Linked DNA regions of Caenorhabditis elegans. The protein of the gene in region 2 interacts with the protein of the main gene of each other region in a pairwise test. Each region holds a gene or a part of one and is shown on either strand. Other genes may lie near its edges.

Region 1 (5,356 bases), on a different chromosome or scaffold from region 2:
CTTCGATTCGTCAATTTTTCACATTAAAGACCGAAACACAAAGCGGCGATGATGATTCTGCCGCTGGAAGTCAATTATTTTCAGCCAGGCTGTCTTGCAAATCATGCGGAAAATTCTTCTATAGTGAAAGATCATTAAGCAAACATCATCGTCAGATCCACATGTCTGGACATGTGTGCGTCTTGTGCAATCACCAAATGCCGAAGACCGTGACGGTTCAGGAGCACATGGAAAAAGAGCATAACATCCGATTGGTCTTCAACTGTCGGTGCTGTAACTGGTCTTTTGCCACTAGACGTTGCTTGATGTCCCATGTTGAATGTTTGAAGAAGGCTGGAGACGCGAGGAACGTGAAACCGGTGGCCATACCAAGAATGGCTGCCGATTCGATTCTCCAATCTTTGAAAGAGAGTGAAGCCCAAGAATATCCCGACTTCTCAGCGGCATCTACTACATCTTCAGGTCCAGCATCAACTCTGAAGACTCCGAGGATGGATTTCAAGAAGAATTTGAAAATCTGTACAGATGCTGTGCAGATACTCGTTGGAAATGGATTGTTTTCAAATGAACAGCTAGCTCAAACGGAGACATGGGTGATGATCTTTTCAAATGCCAACAAGTTGTTTCACTCAATGGTGAGTTGATATGGCAATTTGGAGTATCTGGTCATCAAAAGAGTCAAAGATTTCAAGCTGTAAAATTTCAATATTTTCAGAACTCGTTTGGAGAACCATCTGTGAGCCGAGACATTCCGATGTGAACTACTCACAGCGCCCTCTTCCTCCGCCCCAGTATGTGTGCATGTTCTTCTTTTGCCGATCTACATTCCTTTGTTGCCCAACTTGTAATGTTATTTTATCCCTTTTTTATTAGATTATTGCATGACTGTTAGTTTGATTCATTGTGCTCAAGTTTTCTTGTTTGATTTTTCTGTTAATCTCTTTTTCATTTGCCTTTGCAATTTGGAAAATTGTCTCAAAAACTTGTTGAATGAATAGTGGAAAGTTAAACACTTTTTTTGGCATATTTCCGCCTCTGGAAAAATTCAATTACGGGCTGATATACAGATATTTACTGTTGCTCTTGTGCTACGATTATAGGAATTATGCTTTTTAACATTGTTGATGAAATGCAAGTGTTAGTATTTATTGAATCATGTTGGTCAGGCACGAAATATATAATACTAAACATCAATACCAAAAACTCTAATATCATGTTCGTCGTCATCCCCTAATGTGTGCTCATCGTCTCAAGTTGGTCAAAGAGGTATCAAGAAATCAGCAGATTCTGCAAGTAGTCGCACAGTATTGTCTTCTCTGTGCGAGAGTGTAGAAAGTGTTGGTGCAGAAGTTCTTTCCAGCCCAGGCAGCACATGATGGACTGGTATCAGCGATGAAAGAAGAACAGGTTCCAGTAGAAGCAGATGATCGGGTAGTTGTTGAAGATGCACATTTTCCACAGGTTCTCTGGCAGTAGGTGGCCACAAAGGTTTCGAGTCCAGCGGCGGTGCAAATTCTTATGTCATTTGCACAGTCGGGAATAGCATCAACGCATCCTCCCTCATTGCAGAATCCGCAGGCAGATGGACAGTCCGCAGCGATAATTGGTCTCCAAACCGGTGACAGACATTGGGAGGCGGTGATGGTGCCACAGTTGAGACGTGGATCTGAAAAAACAGACCAGTTAGACTAGATAGCATCGATTGTCTTTGGTTCTCTATTTTCTAGAACAGACAAGATTACAGAAGCCGTAGAACTACTGAAGCATGAGTTTGACTCACATGCAACATTTGGGCAGTTGTAACCAGAAGTCTGACAACATAATCCGCAAGTTCTTGGGCATGTGCTCTGAGCTGCATTCTTCATGTCTTGAACTACAGCAGCTGGAGTCGCGGTAGCAGTCGTATAACAAGCCAATGGTCTCTGCTGATCTCTTCCTGGTGATGGATATCCGTCAGCTGCAACTGGGGCAGGGTACAGAACTGCGCAGGATGAATCGGAGATGACATTGCTGCATGCAGTGGCAGCTGCGTTCCAGACAAACTGAAAATCTTAAGATGCGTAAAAGCGGCAGTATCCCGAAAACTTACAGCAGTTCCGTTGTAAGATGTACAGTTAAGATCTCCTCCAATGACTGCACTGGCTTGTGGGGCCAGAAGTGCCAGGATGAATGAAACCAAAGCAATCATTCTGCTGATTTAATTGAGCTTCTCTGTGTGACCAAGACGAGAGCCGAAGAGGGAAGTTTCCACTGTCAGACCATGTATTTTATACTAGTTCAGAGTAACTTTGAACACCTGTTTCGAACAGTCTCCTTACCAAATTGCTCTTAGTGCACCCAGTTTTAGTTTTGAATTGTTTGAACAGAAGAATACCTGTCTGGCCAACGCCGGCCAAAAAATGTAATTGCACATTTTGCTTGCTCTTTTGGATAGTTTCAAATATTCTTACTTTTTTAAAGGAATAATAATTATTCTATAAGACATATTTCTATCCGCAATTCAGTGTGATTTTTTACAGTCACTTGAAAATACTCAAAATACTATAAATCCAACTTACAAAAAGTATAGTTTTTGCAGTTATTTATTTGCACAGATGCATTTTTTGGTTTCACAATATCCACGTCAAAATTAAATGGCAAATAGTGGATTTCATGATTTCTTGAACAATTTTTTTATATTTTAGAGACCGGTAGAGTTTGTTATACGAGTGTTAACCCGATCATATTTTACTTTCAATAATTTAATGGTAAAATTGAAAACCACTGGAGATTTGGAGAATGCCAAAAACAAATGATAAACTCAGGGAATAACTTTAAAGTTATAATAAACGAAGAGCAAATTTAATAATCCATATTTCCTATTTTTATTTTAATCAATTAATTTCTCAAAAACGTATCACGGCCCTACGCAGACTACATTAAAGATAAGAAAACATGTCTCGACAAATTGTTTCTTTTTCATTCTGCGTCTCTATCCTACCGATACACACTTCTTAACTAAATTTTAAATTTCTTTTCTGAAATAAAATGTCTAAAAAATCTGAAAATCAGCCGTGTATGGTGTGCGGAGAGATATCTTATAGTATCCGGTTTGGGGCAGTTTCATGTAGGTAAGTTTTTAGTATTGAATTTATGTTATAAAATTTATAATTCCGACAATTGTTCAGGGCTTGCGCAGAATTTTTCCGACGCAAGATAGTTTCAAAAGCTAGAATACCAAAACGGTGCAATGGTGCTTGTGATCTTGGAAAATATCACCGAAAAACTTGTCAAAGTTGTCGATTTCAAAAGTGTTTGAAAATTGGAATGTTGGAAAAAGTTGTAGCTTCCCGGACACCAGTCAATAGGAGAAGTGAAAACAATCAAACTATATTGTCGGGACTTGAAAAAGCATACGATAAATTGGAAAACTCCAGAGACAATGTTTTCGATAGAAAAGTGAGTTTTTCGGTTTTCCTCGGCCAGTCATAAGATTTCAGTAGTTAATCTAATACTAATTTTTCTAATTTCAGAACAAAATCCCCAAGTACTGCAATCACCAGGAACTGGATGACATGTTCGAAATTGACATAAAACTAATTTCCACGCATTTCATTCAATTTTTTGAATCTAAATCTTCATTGGAAAACAATCAAAATAAGGTTTTATCTACCCACTTCATTATTCGATTTTCACTTCTTGAAGTAGCTTTTAGAGCATTTGGTAAGACAGTTTTATAGTAATTTTAAGTTAAGCGGTAAAAATCTCTTCAGGGAAACCTACATACATTTTACCAAATAATGATATCATTGACGTATCCAAATTAGACAAAGTATATCAACATTTGGAAACAGGTGAAGATGAGAGAGGGAAGAACTCTCAAGTGTAGGTTTTATACCATTCAATTTTTATCCTAAAGAATAAAAATTTTCAGAATTCTACAAAGATTCTGGCAAATGAATGAGAAAACCATGAAAACTGAAGTGTTTCCTGTAAACTTGGATCAATCTGAATTTCTATTTCTATGTGCACTCATCTACTGGGATTTTGGAATTGAAAATCAATCTGAAAAGTGTTTGGAAGAGTGTCAACGGATGCGTACTCAAGTTTTAAAAGAACTCACTGAGTATGAAAAATCAAACTATCCAGAAAATGAACTCCGAGTTGCTCAAGTGATTGGCATCTTGCAAGCTCTGCAAAAAACATTGGACGTGATTCAACACAGCGGATACATTTCAAATGTGTATAATTTAAAAGGAAAACAATGCCCATTGTATGAAGCTACGAATGAATAATAACTTTTTGTCAGAATGGTAATAAATACACCATGTAATTTGACCTCTATCAGTTGCCCCAAATATACACAAGTATTTTTCAGCTTGCGTTATACAATAAAGTTCTTGTGACGTCATATGCTTCGTCGACAATAATTCATCGCCTGACGTTTGTCTGAAAACTGCCCGGTTTACAAACAATTGCACCATGTGCGCCCGATTCTTGTTGTATTTTTTTACCGCACTGTATTGTTGGTGTGGCGAGAGGCAGAAGGAGGTCGCCGAAAGTCGACGAGGCAGGCTTTTTGGACCCTGCCTTGCTCGCGAATTGAAGTATGTATACGTTTAAAACGTAAAACACCACGTAAAATTTTATTGATCTGACTACTAGTTTGACAATTTAATTCACATAGTAAAGTCCTTTGGGTAAACTTCATGACGAACTCTTTCACAGTACTCCAATAACTTTGGGAAGTCCTTTTCGAGAACATCCGAAATGTGATTGCGGAATGGATAATAGACAGTTGCCAATTGAGAGAAGACTGTTGCATCCGCCTGAAAATAAATAATTTCTTGCCAGATACAATTTTATTAGACTGTGTATTTACCGCCGTGATTTCCTCCCCGAAAAGAAACTTTTTCTTGGCCAAGGTGTTCTCTACGATTCGCAAATCTCTGTGAAGAATCTCGTCGAGCTCACTCAATTCAAAATCTCCAATGGCTCCCTGACATTTGTTGTAGACATTTTTCCCGATTATAGCCTTCAAAAGGGGCATGAGAAGGAAATTCAGGAAGGTTGGGAGACCGATTATTTCAATAATGGTTTTGTAGAATTCGTCGACAGCAATTTTAAATCGTATAAGTACGCTGAAATAAAAGTTTTATGACAACGGGAACCATAGTTTGTAAGTTTACTTACAAGAACAAATGGTGATCTGCAAACTTGCTTAGAGCAACAGATTGAGTTTCCAGCTCAGTTGGAAGCGACTGCAAAGTTACAGAAATATAAGATGTAACAGAATAAAGTTTCACTCACCGGAATTTTAAAATGTGATCTCAAGCGCATTTCGATAAGATCAGAATCAGCAATGTGCTCTCCATTG
Region 2 (6,743 bases):
CAGAACATCCAGAAAACCGGAAAGTGCTGCACCCATCAATGGATCAACTCCTTGTATGTCTTTCATGAGGACCGATCCGTGTTTCAGAAGAATTTTCACAACTTCCACATTTCCACTTTCTGCAGCGTCATGAAGAGCCGTATTTCCTCTCTCGGTTTTCTTGTTCACATCGATTCCGGTTTTTAGGAGCTCTTCCACAATTCCAACCTACAAAATTTTAGTTTTTCTCATATTTTGTTAATTAAAAATTTCAAAATCATACTTTATTTCTGTAGGATGCAATCATCAGGCACGTATGACCATGACGATTCGGTATATGTGGATCTGCACCTTTTTCGAGTAAATATTTCACTGAAAATCTTATTTTTAAAAAAGCTTCTTCGACTTCAAGGAATTACCAATATCCAAGTGTCCATCGTAACATGCACCTCTTAATGGAGTACTTCTTGTGTTAGTTGCTTGATTTACATCTGCATTTGCCTTTTCGATCAAGAGCTTTACGATCTGAAATCGAAATAAAACATTATTGCATTAAATAATGAAATATTTTTCACTTCAATGTGTCCAGCAGCGGAGGCAGCCCACAAAGGAGGTGTTCCTTCTGAAAACTATTGTTTTATTTTCTTTTCAGAACAGAAATAAAAACTTACGAATGTTTTCGTTGTCAAATTCCACAACACCACGAACAGATGGATCGGCTCCAATTTCTAGCTGAAAATCTTCTCATTTAATTAATTAATTTTCATTTTTCCCACCAAATATTCGACGACATTTGCGTGTCCATTTCTTGCAGCAATCACAAGTGGATATCGTCCGTCTTGATCAGAATTGAAGCAATCAATTATCCATTGTCGATCGTTTCTTGAATTTATTGTGAAAACCTGGAAATTCATTTATTTTGACAACTTTTCTTTAACTTGAGCTTTTTGCTTACTTTAATTCTCTGCAAATTTCCAACCGCCGCAGCATTATAAATTACTGTTCGAAAATGATGTCCATTTGGTGTCATACCGCCAATTTTTCCAAAAAAAAACTGGCGGAATTTTAATAGAAATTGCAGAAATTCGAGAAGAAAAAGAAAAGAAAATACTCCTCGTGATTTGTCGTCGGATAGGGTGCACGGTCTGCAATCTGACGTGAGGATTATTGCGGAGTGCTCGAAATTTTGAGTTCAGCGCCGCGGCGGAAATATCGGATATCAGAGATTTTCCCGTCGGTTTTGTCAACTTTTGCCTCAATTTTATCAATTTTTCCGTAAAAATCTCAAAGATCGTTACTGTTTGTATCATTGTTTGAAACAAACTACGCAGAATGATGCAAAATTGTATAGGAACTCCCATGGTTGACATTTTCCCAGGGAAAAATGAGTAAGTGGCAGGATCGAAAAGATGATATAAAAGTTGGCGTTCACAGTCAATCGAAGGCCAAGTAGACTATCTGAATTTCTATTTGCGCACATTTTATCACTTGTTATCACTGGTGTGTTCAAATGCATTGTTTTTCACTTTGTGATCACTGGCAGTTGTTCTTTCTCATTTCAAACATCATTTCGCAACTGCCTCGTCATTTTTACTCTTCTCCTCGTAAAACTCTTTATATAAATGATACTCTCATTTCGATTCAAAAATTTTAAATTTTACAGATGGAAAATCTCATTCCTGTCGTCAATAAACTACAGGATGTTTTCGCAACGTTAGGCAGGAAAGAAGATCAAATTCAACTTCCACAGATTGTAGTCGTCGGATCACAGTCGGCCGGAAAGTCTTCAGTGCTCGAAAATCTAGTCGGTCGGGATTTTCTGCCGCGTGGTACTGGAATTGTCACTCGCAGGCCATTGATTCTTCAGTTAAATCACGTTGCTCTCGATGATGAATCCAAAAGAAGACGGTCAAATGGAACACTTCTCACAGATGATTGGGCAATGTTCGAACATACTGGCTCTAAGGTTTTCACAGGTGAGAATTTAGTAATTTGAATATTGCGAGAAATTTAAACAATTTTCCAGACTTCGATGCCGTGCGAAAAGAAATCGAAGATGAAACTGATCGTGTAACTGGAGTGAATAAAGGAATCTCTCTTCTTCCAATCAGTTTGAAAATTTATTCCCACAGAGTTGTCTCCCTCTCCCTGGTCGATCTTCCCGGCATCACAAAGATCCCAGTTGGTGATCAACCAGTCAATATTGAAGAGCAAATCCGTGAAATGATTCTTCTCTACATTTCAAATCCTTCTTCTATCATTCTGGCTGTAACTCCAGCGAACCAGGATTTCGCTACTTCGGAGCCTATCAAGTTAGCTAGAGAAGTGGACGCAGGTGGACAAAGAACTCTCGCAGTTCTCACGAAATTGGATTTGATGGATCAAGGAACTGATGCGATGGACGTATTAATGGGGAAAGTGATTCCAGTAAAGTTGGGAATTATTGGAGTCGTTAATCGATCTCAACAGAATATTCTCGACAACAAACTGATCGTGGATGCAGTGAAAGATGAGCAAAGCTTTATGCAAAAGAAATATCCAACATTAGCTAGCAGAAATGGAACTCCTTATTTGGCAAAGAGATTGAATATGGTAAGAATTTCAATAAATAAAAAATTATTTAGAAATTAATTTCAGCTTCTCATGCACCATATTCGCAACTGTCTTCCTGCACTGAAAGCCCGCGTGTCTATCATGAACGCCCAATGCCAATCGGATCTTGTTGCATTCGGTGAACCAGTTGAAGATAAGAACAGAACACTTCTTCAAATCATAACTCGATTCGCAACTGCTTATACATCAACTATCGAAGGAACTGCCCGCAATATTGAAACAACTGAGCTATGCGGAGGTGCTCGTATATGCTACATTTTCCACGATACCTTCGGAAGATCTTTGGAATCTGTCAATCCATTGGAAAACCTCACACAATTGGATATTTTGACTGCGATTAGAAACGCGACAGGACCAAGGCCAGCTCTTTTCGTACCAGAAGTCTCATTTGAATTGCTTGTCAAGCGACAAATTCAACGATTGGAGGAGCCATCGTTGAGATGCGTTGAGCTGGTACACGAAGAAATGCAACGAATGGTTCAGCATTGCGGATTCACTACTCAACAGGAGATGATTCGTTTCCCAAGATTGTACGATAAAATCAATGAGGTCGTTAGTGGAGTTCTGAAAGAGAGGCTGAAGCCCACCAATGAGCTTGTCGAGAATCTTGTAGCCATTGAACTTGCTTACATTAATACAAAACATCCAGAATTCACAGAAGCCAATTTGGTGACACTTTTGAAAGAGGAGCTTCTTCTCGACGATCGGCATGGTCGCAGTAGAAATCGACATGCATCAACCGGAGAAAGAGCGGTCAGTGCTCATGGAGAACAGGTGGGGGCAGGAACTTCCTGCCAGGAAGTGCGGATGACTGACTGGGCTTTAATATTGCATGGGCTTAACCTCATTGGATTCCTAGTATTAAGCAGTCAAATTAAAACAATTTTCAGCAGCTACAACCGGTACCAGGAGTTAATGGTGTCGACTTGAACGCTGTTCTTCAACAACAACAGCAGCAATCCCAGAACCAACGTGCTTCCAATGGATTCCTTGGATTATTCGGCAACGCCGCTGCCAGCAGCAAGACGTCCCCACAAGAAAGTCAGTGGAAAAATAAAGAGTTTGTGGTCATTCAGTATCTATATTTTCAGAGCAATCAGCAAATTTTTTGCCAGAAGTGCCAGAGACGCAACTAGGAAGAAAGTTGACAAGTCGTGAACAAAGAGATGTCGCTATTATCGGTATGAGACCTAGTTTTCAGTTTTTAATTTGGGTTTTTTTTTATTTTTTCAGAACGGCTTATTCGAAACTATTTCATCATTGTTCGTAAGAATATTCAGGATAGTGTGCCGAAAGCTATTATGGCGTTACTGGTCAATTTTGTTAGAGTGAGTTGCAAGCTTAAATTTAAAAATTTAAATTAATTTCTTTAATTTCAGGACAATTTGCAATCGGAGCTCGTTCGTCAGCTGTACAAACCCGACGAGATGGACGATTTGTTGGCTGAAACTGAAGACATGGCTCAGAGAAGAAGAGATACTCTTGAAACTATGAAGGTATTCGGTCTCCTTTTTGATTGGATTCGACACAATTTATTGTTTTCAGGCCCTCCAACAAGCCAGCGTGATCATCAGCGAAGTGAGAGAAACACAAGTTTGGTGATATTCCCATCAAATAATTTCCAGCTGTTTTAACTATTGCAATGTAGATTAGGACGATTCTAATTTTATTTTCACGATTGATTCGATTTATTGTATTTTAACTATTTTTCTTCTTCTCTTCGCCTCGATGATAATTCTAGTTCGGTAACTCCCCCGTTTCTGTATGATCTCTATGCTCCGTTCCCTTTGATGTTTTCTTTTCATGATAATATTGTGTGCTCCTTGAAAGAATCACGGTTTGTTGTAGATTCTAGTTTTTTTTGTGGCTTTTGAAAATATTGGAAACAGAAAGGTGGATTTATATGAAATTCTTTGATGATGCTTGAAAATATTTCGTGTTTATCGTTGATTTTCTCGTTGAACTATTTTTAATATCTTTTTTCCGACCCTTTAAAAAATGTTCACTCAACATGCGCCAATAGCACTGCTGGCGCATTTCGAGTGTCACTCGATCTGCGCCAACAGCTGAGATTGACCACGCCCATAGAACCGTGCGGCAATTGCGCTTTTGCTTCATCCGCACGGTTTTGAAAATTTTAGGATTCATTTTTTGTTTTGTCCAAAAAATTCATTTTCGATATTTCAGCGTTCAAAAAATGTCAACGCGAGCAAAGAAGAATAAGCCGTCAGAACCGTCATTCGACGATGAGCTCCTCATTTGGGAGTTCATTTACGAAAATACGTGTAATATGCAGTTGTTCGATGACGTGAATTTGGACCTCTTCAAGCAATATCTACAAGAACATGAGTCTGTGTTTACGGCGGAGCAGCTATACGAATTGTAAGTGTTTTTCATTTTTAGTTGTTTAAACTTTGACCAAACCAAAAGCTCTAATTTTCAATTTTCAGCTACGTTACAAGAATGAAAGCTACGCTTTACAAATGTGAGCTGGAGCCGCGAAAAATGCTCACTCTTTACAAGAACCTGGAGATCGAAATGAATCAACATGTCGAGACTTTACTGGAGGCCAGATTCAAAACTGTTCTGCGTGTTGACTCGAATAGATGTCTTCAGAAGTTCTCCGAGTTTTCAGCCCCGGAAACTATTCCCGAAACACTTGAAGAAACCGTCCCAGCAACCGCTCCAGAACCCGAACGTTCTCGAAAATTAGTGAATCGAATGCCGCTAGATGTAGAAATCTCCGATTCCTTCGAGAAGCTGATTTGGAATCATGTCTACCTAAACGCCGACCGTCTAACCGGGAAAATTGTGATGGCTGAAGAATTTTGGGACCAGCTGCTCCAATCACAACCGAATATTCCCATCAAGTCGGCTTACATTGTGCTCCACCATTTCAACATAAAGATGCTCGAGAACCTCTGGAAGCAGCCGATGGATCCGTATGCTAAAGCACGGCTCATAAGAGACTTGGCGGTGCCATTGAGTCTTCGTCAGCGTAAATGGATGCTCGACAATGATCGTCTGAATTTGAAATTGTCATTGAACGGATTTGTGGAAGACTGGGATATTGTGCCAGACCAGCCAGCTCCACGTAGCAAAATTCTTCCCTGGAGGCCAAGAACTCCGGCCGGACACCGAGACAGGTATCGGAAAATATCATTTCAGAAGTTTAACTAGAATTATTTCAGATCCCCCAGTAGTCCTATGGCACATCTAGACAATATTCAACCACCATCTCCGATTCAAGTTGTTTCGAATCCAACATTATCGTCCGAATTAAGTTCAAGAGCTTCCAGGGATCAACCAGGACCTTCACGCCCGCGATCGCAGTCAGCCAATGTACGTGAAACGTATGCGCCGAAAAGGATTGAGAAGCGAACGAAATTCACAGTCGACGATCATGTGGTTGCGTGGAAGTTTATCTATGAGAAGTTGGTTGAGGCAGATAAGGAAGGTGTCCAGTTGATGCCCAAGGGGATCGCGTTCTGGAACGATTTTGTCAGAGTCACACGATCGTCGAAAAGTGCAACTAATTGGAGTTCGCACTTTCGAAAGATCATGTGCCCAGGGCTCCACGAGATGCCACTTCACAAGAAAACCATTCTCTACCTGCTTAAGAATATTGGTATTGAAATTGATAAGGAGACTGAGCAAATGTAAGTTTAGAAGTCGTTCATAATCCATCGTAAAACTTACTCGTTTCAGCATCGAGCGAAAGTTTAACGTAAAGCTCCTCGTTGGAATAGACCGCAACTTGATATCCTATAAGCTTTTGGATGCAGAAGAAGAAGAAGTGATTGAGGAAGACGACGAATCGGAAGAAGTTGCTACTCTAGAGGTCATGGATGTTGATGATGAAGATCTGGATGAGACGGTTCCACTTGAATCAAATGAGGCCATGATTCATATGGATGAAAATCTCGATACATCAGTTTTGTCTAACAAAACGATGGATTCTGTGAACAATCTAGAGAATTCTATCACCGAGAGTACAAATGACTTTACCGTTTTCGAAGGTACAGCTGCCGCTGTGCTCCTGCCTTCTGAAGTTGTATCTCAAGATGTTTTTGGATCACAATCCGACTCAACGGTTCCAGAATCTGCTCCAGAGCCGGCCGAGATTTCTTCAAGTTTGGTGGATTCTGATG

The links. The genes of interacting proteins can lie anywhere in the genome.
Region 1: the proteins of drp-1 (region 2) and nhr-108 interact in a two-hybrid assay, tested with the Caenorhabditis elegans proteins (one large-scale study listed by BioGRID).

What each region holds. Positions count from the first base shown.
Region 1 is NC_003283.11:15,922,076-15,927,431, reverse strand, and holds nhr-108 (Nuclear hormone receptor family member nhr-108), read left to right. Parts: upstream 1-2,959; 5' UTR 2,960-3,027; coding exon 3,028-3,110; intron 3,111-3,167; coding exon 3,168-3,438; intron 3,439-3,512; coding exon 3,513-3,702; intron 3,703-3,752; coding exon 3,753-3,864; intron 3,865-3,913; coding exon 3,914-4,274; 3' UTR 4,275-4,390; downstream 4,391-5,356. Other genes in the region: pzf-1 (Paired zinc finger protein 1), read left to right, coding at 1-635, 716-760; F35E8.13 (ShKT domain-containing protein), read right to left, coding at 1,278-1,666, 1,781-2,042, 2,090-2,188; cdr-1 (CaDmium Responsive), read right to left, coding at 4,659-4,808, 4,862-5,120, 5,173-5,240, 5,290-5,356. UniProt on the Caenorhabditis elegans protein: Orphan nuclear receptor.
Region 2 is NC_003282.8:5,536,848-5,543,590, forward strand, and holds drp-1 (Dynamin-1-like protein drp-1), read left to right. Parts: upstream 1-1,640; 5' UTR 1,641-1,642; coding exon 1,643-1,955; intron 1,956-2,005; coding exon 2,006-2,571; intron 2,572-2,616; coding exon 2,617-3,366; intron 3,367-3,482; coding exon 3,483-3,633; intron 3,634-3,683; coding exon 3,684-3,773; intron 3,774-3,825; coding exon 3,826-3,920; intron 3,921-3,971; coding exon 3,972-4,088; intron 4,089-4,137; coding exon 4,138-4,194; 3' UTR 4,195-4,518; downstream 4,519-6,743. Other genes in the region: Sex-determining protein fem-1, read right to left, coding at 1-207, 263-351, 399-504, 555-601, 651-711, 756-881, 935-1,009; tebp-2 (SPK domain-containing protein), read left to right, coding at 4,790-4,974, 5,043-5,738, 5,784-6,251, 6,301-6,743. UniProt on the Caenorhabditis elegans protein: Functions in mitochondrial division. Functions in peroxisomal division. Mediates membrane fission, perhaps mainly of the mitochondrial outer membrane. Mitochondrial fission may be promoted by recruitment to mitochondrial membranes via the egl-1/ced-9 complex.